Caenorhabditis elegans: one gene and its partners. The protein of the gene in region 1 interacts with the protein of each later gene in a pairwise test. Each region holds a gene or a part of one and is shown in the gene's direction. Other genes may lie near its edges.

Region 1 (3,144 bases):
TAATTATTTCAGAATTTGTAAAAGTGTCTATCAAAAAAGAATGGCAGACGATGGATACGAAGTAATTGGTCCCGTCTATTCGGTGCCTCCTCTTGCATCACCGATGCCCACGATGGTTCCTCCATCGCCACTCGCAGTCACTCCAAAGGTTAAAAAGGATGAAGATTCTGGATCAAGTGCGGCGGAGACGACCAGAGCCGGAAAACATCGAAAAAGGACAAACGCCTCAGAGTATGAAGTGGTTGGTTTTTTAATGATTTTGGCTTTTTTTAGCGATCTAGCTTTTCTTGTTGAGAAAATACTGAAAAGAATAGTATGACATGAGTATTGGTTAACAGAAAAGTCCCAGAAGTTTCTGTAATTTTGTTAAATTCTTCAAAACAAGAATCTTCAAAAAAGCCTTTTTTTTTAATTGAAAGTAACTCCTCTTTGCTTACATCAATATTATATAAATTCAGAGCAATATGGAGAGCACCCACCATGATGTAGTTTCGATCAAGCACAGACCAAACTCGTGTGACGTTTGCCACGTGGCGACTCTTTTGTTCCTGATTGTTATGGTGATCGCCATATCGACTCCAGTTCTCCTTTCTGCAAGTAAGGGCGGACTTCCATGGATTGAGAATAAGTTGATGGAAGAGTCTAATTAAGAGTACTGCCGAGTTTGAATAAAGATTTTATGGGGAATTTTTTTGTACTCACATCTTTCAAAAGTTTCCTGAAAAATTACTAAGCTTACAGTAACCTTACAGTAACGCTCTTTACGCAAATGTAAAACTTTTACATGTATTTACATAAACAAAAGTTTTACATATTTAAAATGACCATGCTTTTTTCAAAAATCTCAACGCTTTAAAGCGCTATGAACCCCTGAAGCGCCAAAATCTCTGCGTCTATTTAATTTGAATTCCGCGCGCAAATGAGCGACCATCGTGTACTCTCGGACAATCAAATAATTTGTTGATTTTCCACAAGTTTATGTGTTCTTCGAATTTTCTCATTATTTTTCAGTTTTTTAATTGTATTAATAAATTTATGAATGCATTTTGAATGGATTGATGCTCAATGAGACAAAACTCTTGTTTTATTGAATTATTTGGTTGTATTCCCGCATTTTTTCTATTCCACTGAAAAATAAGTTTTTTTTTCATTTCGATCTTTGGGATCTTTCAAATATGACTATTTTCTCTTATTTCTACGAATAACTTCATCTATTGAAAGTACTCTAGTTTCCCAATTCAAGAAAAAACATTTTTACATGAATGTGAATTCCCTCTCGAGACTTATCCGAATAATTAAAAGAACTTTTTACTACTCCTTCCAGAATATTAAAAATCTACCGTTGTCTATCTTCCAAAGTGTTCATTGCTCCATTCGCAATAACATTTTTATCGCACAATAATAACCGTTTTCTCAGCCACTGTTTTTCCAATCCACTTGTTACACTACACTCGAAATATCGGGAAAGTTCAAATTCCACTGTTCCAAGTTCCAAATGTATTGGTTGCAGTATCGATCGGAAAACAATAAACTCCACTCATCCTGCGTAGCACACCTCCTTCTATTTCGAAATCAATGTTTCCTCGTCATATGTTGTATCTCTCACACCCTCCGTCTTCTTCTCTATACTTGTAAAAGAGCGCGTCGCGCAATACTCATAGAGTTTCATTCTTTTGCATTTATTCAGTCATTCATCATATTCTTCTTTTCTCTTGCTTATCTTTGGAATTCCTCTGACATTCATTCTACCATTTACTAGAATTATAACATTGATTTTGTAAATACTCTTCCTCATTCTCTTGCAATAAAAAACAATTTCCTAACCGAAATCATTTCAGAACTTGCACTACATCTTCCGTTAACAATGCCATCTTGCGAGATCAAATTCGACTTCAACGACTCTGACGAGTCAGTCACTGTTCGTGAAACTCGCATTATCCTGCTTCTTCCAGTCATCCGTCGCGCTGTTGAGCTCCAGGTAAGATATCAGATTTTTTTTTTTGAGAAATATAGATTTAAAAATAAACGTTTTTTTCAGTATCCGGATTTCGCGACCGAGGAGAATGCGGTGATTGAAGCTCCATTCAGGGTTCCATTCAAGAAGGATGCTGGAGTATTCCTCTTCGATACCATCGCTCGCTACGCTGCACCAACCGATGACAATGTCCATGAGATCACTGTTGAACAAAGTTACCCAGAAGCTGGACCGAAGACCTTGGATGAGCTCAAAGAAATCATTGAACTCGCCAACTTCTGGGAGTGTACCACTTACATGGAGTGCATCGGATTTGCGATTGCAAAGAAGTTGGAGGACAAGACCATCGAAGAGATCGCCGCTTTCATGGGAGTCGAATGCAATCCACCAGGAAACTTCTTCGCAGAGGAAGACGGATGGATTCATCCACCAGCAGACGCTTTCCAGAATGTCCAATAGATCCGATCCCCTCGTAATTTGCTCTGATCTCCCACTGCCAATTTCCATGATTTTGTGTTAAATATATTCAAGCTCAATACTTTCACTTTTTACCTCCTTGTAATATATTAAATACTTATCAGAACTTTTTCAAATTGATTTTAAGGAATGAATAAAATGATTTTCTCGAAATGTGCTCACAAATCTTAAAAAGAACTCGAAATCAGAATTGCCAAAAAAATCAACAGAGAGGAAAGTAATTGAGGACGATTCATGCAAAATTACAGTATCAACTCGATTAGTTCAACCGTGAATTGAATAAAAAAAATCGACGTCAAATCCACGGAAACAAGGTTGCCACGATTTTCAGAGGTACTCGCCCTATTCCAGTTATTCCGGATTTTGATGAATTACCGTAGCTCACGATGTTTACTATTCCTTTCAAATTGAAAGTTTCAATGTCATCATACTTCCGTGAAAAAGTGAGACATTCAGTTTTAAAGGCACATGATTTTTTTCTGAGTTATTATCGCGACGATTTCGGCTAGTGCTCACGCTTTTACAAATGTATGATAGCTCTCCTAGTTGAATTTTGTTTTAATCTGAAAACGTTTAAATGGGAATATTCAGCCCAGATGTTCTGCTTTTAATACTACATGTGCAAATTTGGAACACTGCCAAGTGATCGATATTATTGTGTATCTGACATTGTTCAATATATATCTACTTCC
Region 2 (3,839 bases), on another chromosome or scaffold:
TTTATCGCTTGAAAAAACTGTTTTTTACATTCTATGCTCGTCGAAATCCATCTCTAATACTTTGGTCCTACTTATCTATTTTGGTTATATTGGGCCTATTAATGCTTTGTAGGTAATTATAGAGATTCGGTTCAAGCTCAAATTTTTTTAGTTACGCCGCGATTGGATCTGACACGTTGAGCGGCTATCTGAATCAGGCAATGGGTTTCGGACTTTATTTGCAAGGTTGGTTAAGACTTTTTGAATACGCGCGCAGCATAAAATCAAACCGACCAATCAGCAACGATGGCCACGCCTACGGCACTTCTCTGATTGGTCGGCACCCACACCTCGTTGGCGCGCAAACTTGAGCGTTGCAATAATCAACTTCAGGCCCCACAACCCAACTAATGATAACCATTAACCGCTTTCTTGTGGTATGGTGTTCCCCGGTTAACACTCCAAGGTACAGTACCCGGATTACAGTAGCCGCAATGGCAATATCATGGCTTTTCACAGTTTGGTTTTCTACTCTAATTGGAATGCCAGGTTAACTTTCTACGAAGTGAAAAAACTCAATTAACCAAAAAAAAAAGAATCTCAGACATCTGCCGTTTCCCGTTCAGCTTCGACCATGTACCGTTTCCCGACTATTCAGAAAATGACTATCAATGCGTTGAGGCTTTGATAAGCTTCCTGATATATTATTTATTAGTATTGGCAGTTTCTACAAATTTCATGAATATCCTGATAGCTATCAAGTTATTCTGTCTTTCGGTGAGTTTTTAAGCCTGTAGGACTACTGTAGATTGGACTACGGTAGGGTACTGTAGTGCTTCTGTTGGGGTTTGTGAGAGAATGTTCTTGTTCCAGAAATCTTCCAAATCCCTCTCCTCTGAGTCCGCTAAAAGTCGGCGGAGGTCTAACATCAGATTCTTTCTCCAATCATGCTTCCAAGATTGGATTTGCATGGTCGACGTGGCGGTTAACCATTTATCCCTAGAATACTGTGAGATGAATGTCTGTGCGGTGCTCGTCAGTATGGGGTTTGATGTGATGGTATATGTAGTTGATGGGTAAGCTTTTGATGTCAAAGTTTTGGAAATGTGTTCTATATTTCAGATTGATAATGTATCTCTTCAACTATCGCATAAATTTGAAACCAAAGTCAACGCCGAGTACCCGGAAAACTGTGAAAGTTGGCTTGATTAATAGTGAAAATTCACTACCTCCAGTGTCTTCCTAATTCAAATAAATAAATAAATAACATCATGTTTTACCCCAACTTTGTATGTACAACTTGTTTAAAAAATCTAAAAATGTGAAAGTTAATTGGCGTTTTTTTATTTTATGTTTTTAAAGTTTTTTTTGCAAAATACTTTGAACGCAAAATTCAAAGAAAATATCCATTACCCAGATTACATTTTCAAAAAGCTTGTCGTAGCACAATCGAAATCTGATCCCTAATCCCCATGCACATTACATACGTCTATAATTATCATGCTCTATTGGAGTGGAAAAGGGGGAACTAATCTTCTCGTAATCCCTCTCTCCCCAAGGTGCTCAGTTGCCCATTTTGCTTCCCTGATTCTCCGAAAGATGGACGCTTCTTATTCTTCTTCTCGGCCAAAAAAGTTGAATTACACCTCTTACACCTCGCTGAAATCCGTTCTCAAGTTTTTGAGTGTGAAGAAAAGGTTAGTGAATAGTGATTAAGCTTGAAAATAGACTGAAGAAAAACTTTAAAAAACCCGAATTTCAAAATGAGATTTCTTAAATATTCCTCAAATTTATTCAAATTTGGAAGTTCAAAATATCCAAAAAAAAAGCGATAAAATTTGGCTAAAATAAAGGGACAATTTTGAGTATATTACAGTAACAAAAAACAATTATAAAATATTTTTTCAGAGAACAAATTCACATTCATATTCCCGAGCTCAGGTCTGTCAATGCTCTGCTACCATATGCCCACGAAGAGGTTATCCTTGATAAATTTGAAATCATGATCCAGAACAGATCATATCTTTTCAAAAAGCTTGCTGAAAAAGCCCCGAAGCCTGAAGGTGTGGCTCGCCGGCGACCAGAATATGAATATGCAGAATATAATCGCCTTTTGGTGATGGACCTTGGTCCCCCATCCCTGTTTGACATGAATGACTTGCATCATTTATGGAGACCTATGGGCAATCAGGGTCCCGATCGACTTTCTTTTGGGGACCTGGATAGTCTTGAGAAGAGACGGCTTCGGTTTCGAAGGGAAAACCGGCTTCAAGATTCTTCGGAACACGGTAGAACTGGAAATTGTGAAATCACAATTTCCGAGGAAGATGGAACGGCAATTACAGTAACCAAGGAAATTCCAGTTGACATTGCTTATGAAAAAATTTTCGATGCTTTTTTCAGTAACGGATCGAGAATCAAACTACTAAAAGTTCAATCATTTCCTGACTTTTTGATGAGAAAAGATTTGCTTACACTAAAAGTAAGAGAAATTGACTGCAGTTCAACAGCATCTATCGATATTTTGGAACTTGCTCCGTTCTTGGATCACAGCTCGCTTAAGAAGCTAACCTTGAACGTCACTAATACGAATGTTGATCTATTGATGTTGCCTCTGGTGCAGAATTGTCCAGTACTTCGGATTGTGGAGGCAGGCACCTTCCTGAGCCGTATGCTGAAAACTACTCTGCTCTCAGCTCTACAAAATCAGAAATTGGAAATCTTTCCTGATATTGTGATAATTGAAAGCTTTCCCCAGCTGGTTCAGGTAAGTTTCCACGTTGGAAACTCGCTAAGGTTTAAGCTTAAACTTAAGCTTAGGCTTAGGCATAGGCTTACCGGGTTTTTTTGTGGAACCCGGTAGATGTCGGTCGTTTTAATTTTTTTTAAATTTTTCAGAGCTGGGCCACATCTTCCCGCCCTATAGGGTCCTTAGTCCAAGTAGGCATTCGAGAAGACTACAAAGAGGTTTTGGACATTTTAGACTTTTTGAAGGAAAGCCACGGAGCTCATCCAGCAATAATTAAGAAGCTTGAGTATGTTTTTGAAGTGTTTTCAGAAAAAAAATCTATTATTTTTCAGAAATACAGATTTTTCCAACGGATTGAGCATGCTAATTGATGGGGATTTGGAGCTGGCAATCTATGGCGGAGGGAAAATTAGTGAAGAAGGACTCACCCGTCCTCAGCCCTGCAAATGGAGTCTGTGCATGGAAGTTATGAAGAGGGGGGACACGATTCCTCGTTAAATTTTTAATTCAATTATATGCAACTTCCTAAACAACAGAATTTATTTGAAAATTTACTTTTAAATTGTTCAAGTAATAAAGTTTCCAAATACCTGTTAGGTGTCGGGCGCAAAATAAATGCATGTTTTTTTAGTAAAACACAATTTTTCACTGTACTTTATTTACAATTTATTATAACCAATTGACAAAACTGAATCTCCATAGTTAATTATTTTTTATCCAAAAATCAAAAACTCAAATAGTGAACGCACTGGAATTCCCCCGTACAGCAGAAACTCGTGTGCTAGATTGTGGATCTTAAAATGTATACTATATCACTTGCAAGAGTTAACTTCCAACTCACCGTTCCATCTGAAAATTAGCTGCCCAGCGGCTTTCCGGTAAGGTGAATGAACGAAAATAACTGCAATACTTTCACCGATGCCATGAAGTCCTGAAGAATAATTATGAATCTAAGCAGCCGACAACTTACAGGTTATGTGATGCGTCCGACACTTCCCGGGTAAGTGTCGTATCAATCTAAAGTATTGTGACAGCCGGGATATGTCGGCTGCTTTTCATCAATCTTACCTGCAACGTCCACACCTAGATTCATCATTTCTTGCGAATAAAA
Region 3 (4,124 bases), on another chromosome or scaffold:
GTGGAACTCGTAAAGTTTTCTTTAAAAATTTGTTCAACAGTTGAGAACAACTTTGTTATCAACTTACCTGATCAATTGCTTGCAGTAATGCAAAGTTTTTGGGAAGACTTGCCACACTGCTCACATTGGTTTCATTCCGGCAAAATGGACATAAGATAACACAGTTTTTGGCCAGCTTTGATGCACAGCTTTGACAAATTGAGTGGCCACACTCTGTACAAAAAATTGTATTGCCGCACTTTAGAGGCATCAAAACTCACGAAGAATCCTAGGAATCTGGTTATCAACAACACTTGAAAACTCCAAGGTACATATTTCGCACTCGATGTTTGATTTTGAATCTGTATTGTCAACGAAAGTAACCACAAGCCTATTGTAGGTAAGCTCGTCTGGTTTGACATTTTTCCAAACTGATTCCAAATCAGAAACATCAATGGAAGGCGCGACGCACGATTGAACCAGAAACTTGTGCTGCTTAGCATCAGGTGGAACTTTTTCCAAAGGTTGGAGCATCACTTCAATTTGTTTCGAGTCCCCAATGTTTAGAATTCCTTTAAAAATGAAACAATGGCCGTCCGGTAACCGTGTCATTCATTTTTCTTCAAAATACTCACCTCTGTTTGGACGAACACAATAACTATTTGGAACCGTTGTTTTTACTAGAAAACACACTGGGCTTTGTGATATATTTGTGAGCGTCATGTAAGTAGTGATCACGTGATCGAATGGACCACTGAAGACGAGCTCTGGAGGCACTTCTAGAAGACTCTTTTTTTCAGGCATTGTTTATCTGTAATATTAGTTAAATGCAAAGAGAAGAGTATGTAAAGTAAAAGCCTAACTCAAGTAATTTTAGAAATATTTACCAGAAATTTTATGACATTTAACAGGCAGCAACTTTCGAAAGAAAACTGTTATCAATTTGGGTGTTACTCTTATCTAAGACTTAGGAACAATTTCTTTTCATGTGTTACTTGTTTTTTTCATAATGTGTAGAATAGAAATATTGTTGAAAAAGGTCCTCATATAGAGTTTTTGTGGTATCATCTCATCGCTGTTAACTGTCAAAGTGATCCTATATTCAAATACATTTTCAGGCATCGTTTTTTTATTTAAAAAATATTTATTTTAATTAAAAATTAAATTTATAAAATTGAAAAAAAAATTAATTGAGAGACAAACGTGAAAAAAATCCACGTTTCAAAAGAAAACGAAAAGGGGGAGGAAGTGAAATTCAAAAATATTCATTACCATCTTCATGTCGCTGATGAAATCATCAGAATCGTGGTTCTTTCGACACGTGGATTTGCAAACAGTGAGTTTTGGATAAATCGATAAATCGATGGCCGAACTTTTCAAGACCATGCAGCAATATTCTTTCAGAAGCAAATGGTTTTCTACACGTGAGAGAATGCGTTGGAAAGGACGATTTGAAGTGATGCACACATATGCAAGCCACAGTACACGGAATCACTGGCATCACGTCACCCAATGCATCAGGATTTGATCTACTTCCCGTGGCGCCCAGAGGACTTGTCTTTCTGCCAGTGATCCCAGGAACCCAGAGGTATGTTTCTGGCCCAGCAACGCAGAATTCACTGAACAAAAACCATTTTCAGGGTGCTGTCAACATGGCATACTACGCGAACAAGGACTATGGCATGTCCCTTCCACGTGAATCCGTTGAGATGAAGGCTGGAGATTTTGTGTTCTACCATCCGTGCTTGTTCCACGGATCCGGTGCCAGTCGATCCGATGGGTTCTCGTGTCACGACGAAATACACGCCCGCGCGCGCATTTTCAATATCTTGGAGTAACTTTCCGTTAGAGCGCGTTTTCCTTTTCAGAAAGGCTGCCAGCGAGCATGTGCTATGTGAAACATTATTTTAAAAGTTTGTGGTTTATAGATTATAGATCATTCTCAGTTTTCTCGTGAAAAATCTAAAAATTTACGGTTGGCTTGATTGCTTAGAAAGCCCCATGCAACAGTAGTGTAAGTAGCTGAGCCTGACCAAGTTCCTTGATGGCTAAACAAGGTCTACGCAGAGTTGTGGTAGGGGTGTACCTAACTACTCAACTTTAAAGACCCATATCAAATCGATTTCCGTGACTTTGTTGTACCAAAAAATTCGGATATACCCCGTCGTTCATTTTAATTATCAAAATAAAAGGTGATGGAAGATAATGAGATACGCCTGCCTTGCCGAATAAGACCAGCTGCTAGATAATCCTATAATGGGACACATCTGGTTGAATCGAACCGGCTTGCTCAATTCTCTCCATATTCTTTATTATCAAAAATGAATAGCTCGAAACCATTGTCATATCCAAGCATTGGGAGCATTCTTCAGCACCTGAAGCCTGATAAAAAGTTAGTTTTTTATTTTTATTTTACTAATGTTTAAACAAGCTTTTTTTCTAGATTCCAACTCTCCCAGCAGTGCCGGACAATCACTTCTATTGACAAATCAAGACCTTTATATTTGAAATCTTTAAAGTTAAATGAGAACAGCATCAAATTGAATGGCACCACCTATGAATTGAATGTGATCGAGAATTCGCTTAAGCCACGAGCATTTCCATATGATGTGAATAGCCAAGGATCTATAGATTTGGAAATGGTAGTGCCAGACCAGGAACAAGAACAGGAGATCTTGGTCGATGACAGAACCGACAATCCAACATCATACAATGAGCAAAGGATTTCTCGAGCTGATTTGAAAAATGCTCCCAGCTCCAGTTATACTCATTACATCCGGTTTTCCGTTGGAAATCACTCTGAGCAATTACAATACAATGAGCGGAAGCTTCACGATGCTATGAAATACCTAATTGATAAGCTTCTGGGAGGAAGGCCTACTATCAAAGCCCGACAATTTTGCGTGGAAAACTCTGGAATACTCCGAATCCCGAGACACCTCAAAATTCGTGCTAAAGTTGTACAGTTAAATGGCTTAATCCGGGAAAAGCTATTAAATGCCACACAACATCTACTGGATATCAAAAGCCTACCACTATCAGGTGTCATCATTTCTGATCCCCTTATGAATGCTCCGAATCTTGATATTGATTTTATTCAAACCGCTGAGATGCTACTTTTATACTGCGAAGTGATTTCCGGGGAGGGATTGCTCAAAGTTCGGCACAAAAGAGTTTACATTAATGCGTACTTGTATGATGCTACTTTTCGGCTTTTCGAGGATTGGATGGAGCACGGGCGGGAAGTTGGTACGCATTTCTCATTTGCAATGAGGAATGAGGGAAACATAATTGATGTTCTGGATAAAATTCGAATAAATTATAATGTGGAAGAAGGGTAAGTAAAGTTTGATGGTGCTGCTCTAAAATATAGTTTTTTTTTTGCAGAACTGCTGAGAATCAACTGACCATTCATATAAACAACTTCACGGATATTGTCGTCAGTCATAAAGTGGATACATGGATTTTGGAGTATAAAGTTCAGCAACGAGAAGTTATGTAAATTTACATCTGAATTCAAATCCCAACTGTTTACAGAAGCAAATATAACTGTTCACAATTTATCCTGATACTGATTTATTTACTTCTGATATTGAGCAAATTTCAATAAAGTTTTATTAAAATCTTTAAACTAGAATTGATCATTGAAGTTGTTGCTAATTGTTTGTGTTTACATTATCATAATTTCGACATCAACAAATATCGCCTACCCTTTTAGTATTTGTAGAACGACTTACCATCATTATCAGTTGATAACTCATATGACGATGATGATGGGAAAATGTCTTCCTACTTAATATAACCAAAAATGTTTTTTCTGCTTTCTTTTTTATTCTAATTCCTTATAATAATTCCTTTTTTCATTTTTATGTTCTCAAATTCTATGAAAATATACGCCCGTTAAAAACCACAATGTTTATTTATTGAAGAATGCCAAATAAATAAAAATAAAGTTCCAGACGCTGCGACACCGAGTCAATGGAAAAAATGTGATTTTTCTTAAAAAAGGGCAATTTTTCCAAACCTTTTTTTTTGAGAAATTTTCAGCATGCCTCATTACAAAATTTGGTAGTTTTGGGTCAGTTTGGGTATAGGTCAAATTTCGGTACTCCACATTTAAACAAATCTATGTATATAGTTGTACA
Region 4 (8,008 bases), on another chromosome or scaffold:
AAAAGGGTGTTTCCTTTTTCCTTCTTCCCTCAATTTCTGAATTTTCGTACTCATCCATCACAATCACAAGAGTTACGAAATAGGCATGCGTGTCCTAATACTTGTTTGACAGGCCCCTAATATTTAGCTTTTAATATTTAGCTATTTAGCGTTAACGTCAAAAATAAAAATAAAATGTTTTTCTTGTAGTTCTAATCAGGACTGTGCGGCAAACGGCAAACTGTGAATGCCATTTGCCGAAGAAAAAAATTTGGTTCTGTGAACGGCGAATGTCGTTCGCCGAAAATAAAGTTGGTCAAAAGATCCGCGAATGCCGAAAAATGTTCGGCATTTTTCGACAGTTGTGAAAAATGTTGATTTTTTTTTAAATTTAATCGAATATATTCAAGTTTTTCACATTCATCCTTGAAACATAAATCTACAAATATTGTAGTCATACCCTTAAAAATTGTTTTCTGCGAACAATCAAGGGACATCTCTGTGTCTTTTGTACCCTAACACTCTCAAGTCACCTTTATTTTTAACACTTACCAAAAGTCAACATATTTGAATTATTAGCCATATAGAGGAGATATTCTTTCAGTCGACACATCGTCACCCCACCATAAAACCCTCGAGAGATGATATTGTCTATGGCGGTCCATGTGTACAGTTGTTTTGAATCATTCTTGCCTCTGGGATCCTTTTTTGACTATCCAAACAGTCTGGTCGTTAAAAAATAAAATTGATCTTTGCTTGAAAATTAAAACCAAGACGCTCCTTATCAAACCTTGAAATTGAACTAATTAGATTTAGAAAATACAACAAAAACAACAAAACATCAAAGATTTTGAGAATGCCGAAAAGTGCCGAAAAATGCCTAAAACAAGGGGTGTTAGGCAACCGGCCACTGCCGATCGCCGTAAAAAATTAGGGTTCGGCAAACGGCGACCTAAAAATTTTGACTAAAATCAAAATTACAAATGGAAACAGTACAACTTTCCAGTCATTAATTCCAAAAAATTCCTTATTCCATGCGAGTTCCTTTCAAAATCCTTGTGAACTACCGTGTAACCCATATCTGCTCAAAAATTGTACACATTCTAAAAGAGGATCTTCAAGTGAAAGAAGGTCCCACACAGGCCACTCAATCCATCCTCATTTCCGTTTTCACATTCTCTCTCTATTTCTCTCTTTGGCATGTTCAGTATAACTCATTTGTATTTCACAAGGTACCTTATGCAACGGAAGGGACTCTTTTCTCTTCTGCATATATTCGCGTGCGCGAACTCAAACGGACTGAGTGCCGCTGGCAAAGTAGAAGAAGAAGAAGAAGTCGCGCGCTTTCACTCATTGATTTGTGCATATTTTTAGTGTCTCCCCTCACACAACCGGGAAAGACGACCAGAAAAACGACGACGACCGCCCATGACTAGATCATCGAAGACTTGACGTCTTCTGATGAAGAGAGATATAGAGTGAGAGAAGTTTTTTGTGTGTGTATGTGTGTAGGAAGGCTCTGAATATGGGATTTCCTAGAATTTCAAATTTTTTCTTGGCGTTATGGTTGTTTCTCAAGGTTTTAATTCAAAATTAAAAGTATTTTTTGCAAATTTAATAGGTTGGTCAAAAAACAATTCGGGGGACTTTAATGCAAAATATCACAGAAAAGTTCGCGAAAATTCATTTTCAAATAATTGTTAATTTGGCCGTTTTCTAGAGAAAACTCGATTTTAGTTCAAAAATTAGAAAAAAATAGGATAATTTCGTTTTTTTTTGTCGAAAAAGTATAATTCAACATATTTACTTCAACTCAAAACGGTTTTATCTGAACACTCTAAAAACTAAAAATTGGAACATAGATTAACAAATATTGAAACTGACATTGATATCGCCTTCTTTTGTTTGCTTACCTCAATCCACCACCGCAAGTGGATCTAGTTTTACTCCTCTTTTCTTATCAATTTTCTCCCAATTTCAATTTTTCAGGAAAAATGTCAACCCCTCAATCAGAGCCTGGATCCGAGCCAGGCTCCCCTGGCGAAAACGAAAATTCGATGGTATGCTCAGCTGTTGCGTGAGGTGTTGGCTTATTGTACACACACAGAACATTTGCTTTTTCTGCTGCTTCTGCTGCTATTGATGGTCAAAATGAAAAATATACTCATTTCATTAAACCCCTCCTCCTCGATCTCTTTCATGTCTCATTTGTCACTCATTGTGAAAATTGGCAATCTGCCAAATGCATACTCATTTATCATACTCGCAAGCCTATTATACACACATTTTCGGTTTTTAGGATTCGTTTTTGGTTTGAAAATTTGAATTTGTTTTGAGCATCCAAAAATGGAAACGTTTAGTTGAATTTCACAAGTAAGTACACAACAACTGCACCAATTCCTTAAACTCTGAAGATCAATTTTCTAAGAAAACAGTGTATTTATAAATTTCAAACAATATTCTTAAATTTCTCAATCATACTTTTATATAATTCTACATGTTGTACGTATTTAATGGCTTGGTTTTGTTTTCCCTAAAACGACTTATTCCATCTTTTGGACATCATTCTAACTATTCAAAAGCGTCCTTGAACCGGAAGACGACTCTTCTCTTCTTATTCTTTAATTCTTCTCTTTGATTAGCCAAGAATATCCATGAGAACGTCCGAAACGGAACACAAATAGCTGAGAGAAATTCAGGGATAGATATCTAATGGATGTTGGTGATGTGAGAGAGAGAGGAAAAAAACAAAATTAGTTGTTGTTTGCGGTTCTCATGGTGGGCGAGCGGGGTGTGTATGAGGTTATTAGTTACAATCTTTGACCTAGTTTTTAAATTAGGAGCTAAAGTTTGAATATGTGAAGAGTTGAAAAATTTTCAACTTAGCTCCTCTGTAAAATTAAGGACAAAATTTTATTATAAATGAATCTTTAGTAATCCAATTTCACCCATAGTGCAAAACGTGATTTCAATTTTTCTAGGAGTTTCAGCATTAGCCGCGGTCTAATTTAAAAATTTAGCCTAATTGTAAGAGCATAATAAGGTTAACAAAAAATTGAGCATCCAGAGACTTGCCAAAGCTTAATATTCGTCCTGTACCTAAACCCTGAATCAAAAGCCCGTAGGTCAATCTCAACAAACAAAAAAGTTGACTATTTCAAACAATCCTTGTGTTTTGCTGTTCAGATAAGAACTAATCTGTTCAACCATCAAGTTTCCAACAGGAACATGCACAAACTGACTCTAGCAGAACTTGCTCCCTTCCGTAGTCATAATCACTTTGTTTGTCTCTAGGTGTCTTTGTCAGTAGTTGATTATCCCTCTGATGCCTTCCGTGAGTAGTTTTTTGTCTATCTCTCAACCCGCCGTGAGGCAGCTTCTTGATTTATTGACATAACGAAGCAAGAGAGGGAGACAGCAAGAGACAAAAAATCAGATCATCGGTTTTTTTTTGTTTGAATTGTTTGAATTCGAGTTTCACGAGCCCAGTTCGACTTCCAAGCACGCACGATTTTACAATTCTTGTTGTAGTTTGACAAAATTTGCTTTTCATGTGCTTTTTTTTGTCTCCTGCCTGTTTCTCCTTATTCTTCGTCGTCTTCACATTTGAATTAGGAGAAACGAATTGCAATGAATTGAGTGGTTTGTCCTTAGTAAAATAGCGCATGTCCCTGTGAGACTTGGGCAAATAAGTGTCGCGCCACAGAAAGACCTTCCTCTTCCGAAGACAGTAATCATCGTCCGGGTGGGATCCATCACATCCACTAGTTTGAGTGTTCACCTATGTTTAATTTTCCCCTGCCTTTTTGGGTTAGTCAAGTTAGGAAAATACTGAGTGAGACAGTTTTCATATTACTGAAGTGGAAAAATACACCTCAGCAAAACTCCTCTTTAAGCTTGAAGCTCTTCAAGATCGGCAAGCTTACTTTGGGCATACTTGAATTTCAGACACAGGATAAATGAACTGAATTCTTTGTATTTCAAGCAAAATAGATATCCCTTTAATTCTTTCTGTACATATTTTGAGATGTTTTATAAACCTATTTTTGAGTGGCATCATTTGGAGAAGTTGCCAAAAATGTTAAAGTTTAGCTAGTTTTCATATACAAAAGTATCTAGCACTTTAATTTTCTAATTTTATTCAACAAAAATGAGCCCACCTAACCTGTCCACCAAAATATGCACAAAAAATATTTGCTCTCTCATTTGCGTTTTCGAGTGTATTTCTATGTTTTTTTTTGCCCGTGTTGCAATGTTTTGCTTCTCACTCGACTGTTTGTCAATTCTCACAGCTATACACCGACGGGTGTTGTCAGGAGAAGGGCGAAAAGAAAAGAAAACGCTAAATTTTTTATGGATACTTACTCTTTCCCGGGTTGACCCCGTGGAAAGCCAGTTTTTTTCTCTTTTTTTCACTTGGCAGAATGCTTTTTTTTGTTATTCCTGACCACTCTGAAGTCATGTGTCTGTAGTTTTAGAGATTTTCAATTAATTTGTAAGGAGGGGGAAAACCAATTTCTATTTGTGCTAATGTTTTTCTGAATATATTTTTCATCGAGCTTCGAAAAATGGAATATATTTTCAGTTTTATTTTTATAACCGAGCAAAACTAAAAATTGATGATTTTCCAAATTTGCCGGAAAAAGAAAACGGGAAAATGTTTCGAAAAGGCACAATTTTAAGTGTTTCCGTCCCTCATAACATTTTGGCCAAATAGGAAATTTGCCGGAATTGAAAATTTGCTGCAAATTGGCAAATCGGCAAACCTAATTAACGACCACATCGCCACATAGATCTAACAAAAGCCACTAAAATAGTAAATCCCTTATCCTTCCCTTTCTTCATTTTTATTTTCTCTTCCCAAAAGCTCTGTTGGTATTCAATTTCACATCGCATCGTGTGTCTCTCTCTCACTGTTTGTACATTATTCACTATTTCCACGCCGCCCTTTATTTAGTGTACACATATTGATGTACAATAACAATATCCCCAAAAAATTACCAATTTGTGGGTTAAATTTCGAGGAAACTGCTAATTCTCCCGTTAAACTCCACTTTGATGTTTTAAGTCCTCACAATTCTTTGATCCATCCCGATTTCGGTTTGTCGGTGTGAATTGTAAATCTCAAGGACACATTTATGGCACATTTACCATTTATCCCCCCCCCCCTTTTTTGCCTATTCACTTCTACACATGAATACACCTCCTACCACCCATCTGAATACATTGTGACACACTCAAATACACAGAAATTGACACCCTTCGGAATATTTTTGAGATATACTTCGCGTTTTGCTTCTGTGTTTGTCTTTTCAGTTTTATTGGAGAAAATTTTAAAATTATTAGTTTTAGGAAACTCAGTATAGTCAGGGCTCTTTTCCGGAGGTTGCAGTAGAACCGGAGCCCGAACCTGAACCGGAACCAGAACCTGAACCGGAGCCTGAACCGGAGCCTGAACCGGAGCCTGAACCGAAGCCTAAACCAGAAGTTGAACCGGTGCCACAACCAGAGCCTGAGCCAGAGTATCAACCTGAACCGGAGCCTGAACCAGAGGTTGAACCGGAGCCAGAACCTGAACCTGTGCCGGAGCCAGAGCCTGAACCGGAGCCAGAGCCCGAACCAGTAGTCGAGAAGGAAGAAGAAGTTGTAGTCGGTAGGTTTCAAATGTAATCTTCAGCATTCTTAATCTCTAGATTTTCAGAATCTCCTCCTCGAGAACAAGAACCTGAAAAATCTGGAAAATCCAAGCCTTCGAGTCCGATCCCCGACGCCCCAACAATGGAAGATATCGCTCCGAGAGAGCTCGAGTCTCTAAACTTTTCCGAAACGTCTGGTACCTCCGATCAACAAGCCGACAGAATTATGCAGAACAATGAAAACGAGAGAGTCGAGGAGAAGAAACAAATGAGCCCAACTCCATCACAACCCCAACATAAGACCCCACAAAGATCTGGGATTCGGCCACCAACGGCGATTCTGCGACAGCCAAAACCGATACCAGCATCTTTGCCAAGGTAATTTTTTCATTTGTTGCTCACCTAGTGACCACTCATCACAAATTCTGAGCATTTCCTTGTTTTAGGCCAGCAACTGCTACTCCCTCGTCTCAACGCGCTATTAGTACACCAAGACAAACTGCTTCAACAGCGCCATCTCCGAGACCCATATCGTGAGTGTTTATTTTTTCATAACAATTTCTCGAGTTATTTGAAGATTAAAGATGGGTTTGGTTCTGTCCGTCTTATTGTATCCAAAATACGTTTTTTTTTTTCATTTCTCTGCGCTTATATGTATTAGACGTATCTTTGCCTATTTTTTTCATTCGTGGTAGTAAATAACTAGATCTAAGTTTGCTAATGGACGTATCTATACTCATTTCCTGAAACTATCCCATAGTGAAAATACATCACCTAAACTTGGTGCGGAATATTTGTTGTCTGGGTATTGCAAAACATAATTGCTTCCTCTATTGTTGTGCACCCAACTGCTCCTATTTCTTTTATGGCACCTGCGATCTCAATTTTTCAAACTTTCTCACATTTCCACGTAGAATTTGAGTTATTACATATAGTTGTTACTTATATATAGAATGTTATCATTACTGATTGACCATAAATTGAAAATTTTGCTTGGCTTGAATAATCCCTATTATAGCCAATTAGTAAAAAAGTAACAAATCTTCAGAAAAATGTCTCGAGAACGGTCGGATGTTCAAAAATCCACGTCTACGCGAAGCATCGATAATGTTGGAAGAATGACGCCAAAGGTTAACGCCAAATTTGTAAATGTGAAGAGCAAAGTGGGAAGTGTCACCAATCATAAGGCGGGCGGCGGAAATGTGGAAATTTTCTCGGAGAAAAGAGTGAGTGAACATTAAAAAATTTTTCTGCGATTTGAGCCAATCAGATGACGTTTATGAAGGTCGCTGTTTAGCTCAAAAAAGAGCTGAACAAATCGGTCTTGTAGATCTCATTTTTGGAGAACACCAAATAAGGATGTTCGCCAGAAGTTGCATTATCAAAACCTAGATATTTTTTACACATTCAGTTATTTCAGCTCTACAACGCCCAATCCAAAGTTGGCTCCTTGAAAAACGCAACACACGTTGCCGGAGGCGGAAACGTTCAAATCGAAAACAGGAAGCTAGATTTTTCGGCAGCTTCACCAAAGGTTGGCTCGAAAACCAATTATCAGCCAGCAAAGTCTGACGTGAAGATAGTTTCGGAGAAGTTGACTTGGCAAGCTAAATCAAAAGTTGGGTCAATGGACAACGCAGCGCATAAGCCTGCTGGTGGAAATGTTCAGGTATTTTGAAGATTAAGAATTTGAAACACGAGTGAACTTGAATTTGACGTGGTGGCTTTTCATATTGCAGCTATTGATTTTCAGATATTAAGTCAAAAATTGAACTGGAAAGCCGAGAGTAAGGTTGGGTCAAAGGACAATATGAATCATCGGCCTGGTGGTGGAAATGTTCAAGTTCGTAATAAACTAGGCTACACACACAATATCACGCTTTTCTTCAGATTTTCGACGAAAAAATCCGCTACGTGTCGACGGACTCGAGCCGGAATCATTCTACGCTGGACATCAGCTCGTTATGATCGGACCACGCTTTCACTTGAATTTTACCACACCTCACTGATCTTCAGAGGTTTTGTATTTTTTCAGCAAACTGATGACCTCTTTTTGTAATAAATTTGATTATTTGAATAATTCATCTTCTCAGCACAGTTTATCATCCATCACTGGATCACAATTTGCCCCACGAAATTTCAGGTAATTTCCAGCGAAGTGGCAGTAAGTCGACCAAAAATGATGACGGCCACAATAATTGATAAGAAGAAGGATTTTGCAAAACGACAAAGTGTCTCACAGAGATCTTCAAGCAATTCTCTACTGCCCAACAAATTTCCAGGCGCCATTTATCCTCTTTCTCCTGATTTTATATTCAATCGCTGATGTATACCGCGCTTAATAATATGCTTTCAAATATTTGTGCAACTATTGAATTAATTTTTGAATATAT

The links.
Region 2: the proteins of sup-36 (region 1) and fbxc-53 interact in a two-hybrid assay, tested with the Caenorhabditis elegans proteins (2 studies listed by BioGRID).
Region 3: the proteins of sup-36 (region 1) and fbxc-20 interact in a two-hybrid assay, tested with the Caenorhabditis elegans proteins (2 studies listed by BioGRID).
Region 4: the proteins of sup-36 (region 1) and ptl-1 interact in a two-hybrid assay, tested with the Caenorhabditis elegans proteins (2 studies listed by BioGRID).

Annotation. Positions count from the first base shown.
Region 1 is NC_003282.8:6,599,842-6,602,985, forward strand, and holds sup-36 (SUPpressor), read left to right. Parts: upstream 1-1,832; 5' UTR 1,833-1,864; coding exon 1,865-1,978; intron 1,979-2,038; coding exon 2,039-2,434; 3' UTR 2,435-2,602; downstream 2,603-3,144. Other genes in the region: F38A5.8 (uncharacterized protein), read left to right, coding at 41-241, 459-650; F15B10.3 (BTB domain-containing protein), read left to right, coding at 2,839-2,895.
Region 2 is NC_003280.10:3,709,728-3,713,566, forward strand, and holds fbxc-53 (F-box C protein), read left to right. Parts: upstream 1-1,563; 5' UTR 1,564-1,578; coding exon 1,579-1,676; intron 1,677-1,887; coding exon 1,888-2,746; intron 2,747-2,877; coding exon 2,878-3,014; intron 3,015-3,060; coding exon 3,061-3,226; 3' UTR 3,227-3,320; downstream 3,321-3,839. Other genes in the region: srx-110 (7TM GPCR serpentine receptor class x (Srx) domain-containing protein), read left to right, coding at 1-108, 152-225, 373-528, 584-756, 853-1,055, 1,102-1,225; srh-100 (Serpentine Receptor, class H), read right to left, coding at 3,461-3,522, 3,570-3,659, 3,797-3,839.
Region 3 is NC_003280.10:2,417,189-2,421,312, forward strand, and holds fbxc-20 (F-box C protein), read left to right. Parts: upstream 1-1,947; 5' UTR 1,948-2,300; coding exon 2,301-2,371; intron 2,372-2,422; coding exon 2,423-3,316; intron 3,317-3,366; coding exon 3,367-3,481; 3' UTR 3,482-3,605; downstream 3,606-4,124. Other genes in the region: F42G2.5 (Major sperm protein), read right to left, coding at 1-19, 68-213, 261-551, 615-783; F42G2.7 (phytanoyl-CoA dioxygenase), read left to right, coding at 1,449-1,817.
Region 4 is NC_003281.10:763,227-771,234, forward strand, and holds the start of ptl-1 (Microtubule-associated protein), read left to right. Parts: upstream 1-1,962; 5' UTR 1,963-1,973; coding exon 1,974-2,039; intron 2,040-3,277; exon of another isoform or gene 3,278-3,427; intron 3,428-5,331; coding exon 5,332-5,632; intron 5,633-5,680; coding exon 5,681-5,993; intron 5,994-6,061; coding exon 6,062-6,148; intron 6,149-6,663; coding exon 6,664-6,841; intron 6,842-7,035; coding exon 7,036-7,284; coding exon of another isoform or gene 7,285-7,293; exon of another isoform or gene 7,294-7,368; coding exon of another isoform or gene 7,369-7,458; intron 7,459-7,505; coding exon of another isoform or gene 7,506-7,583; exon of another isoform or gene 7,584-7,693; intron 7,694-7,758; coding exon 7,759-7,941; 3' UTR 7,942-8,008.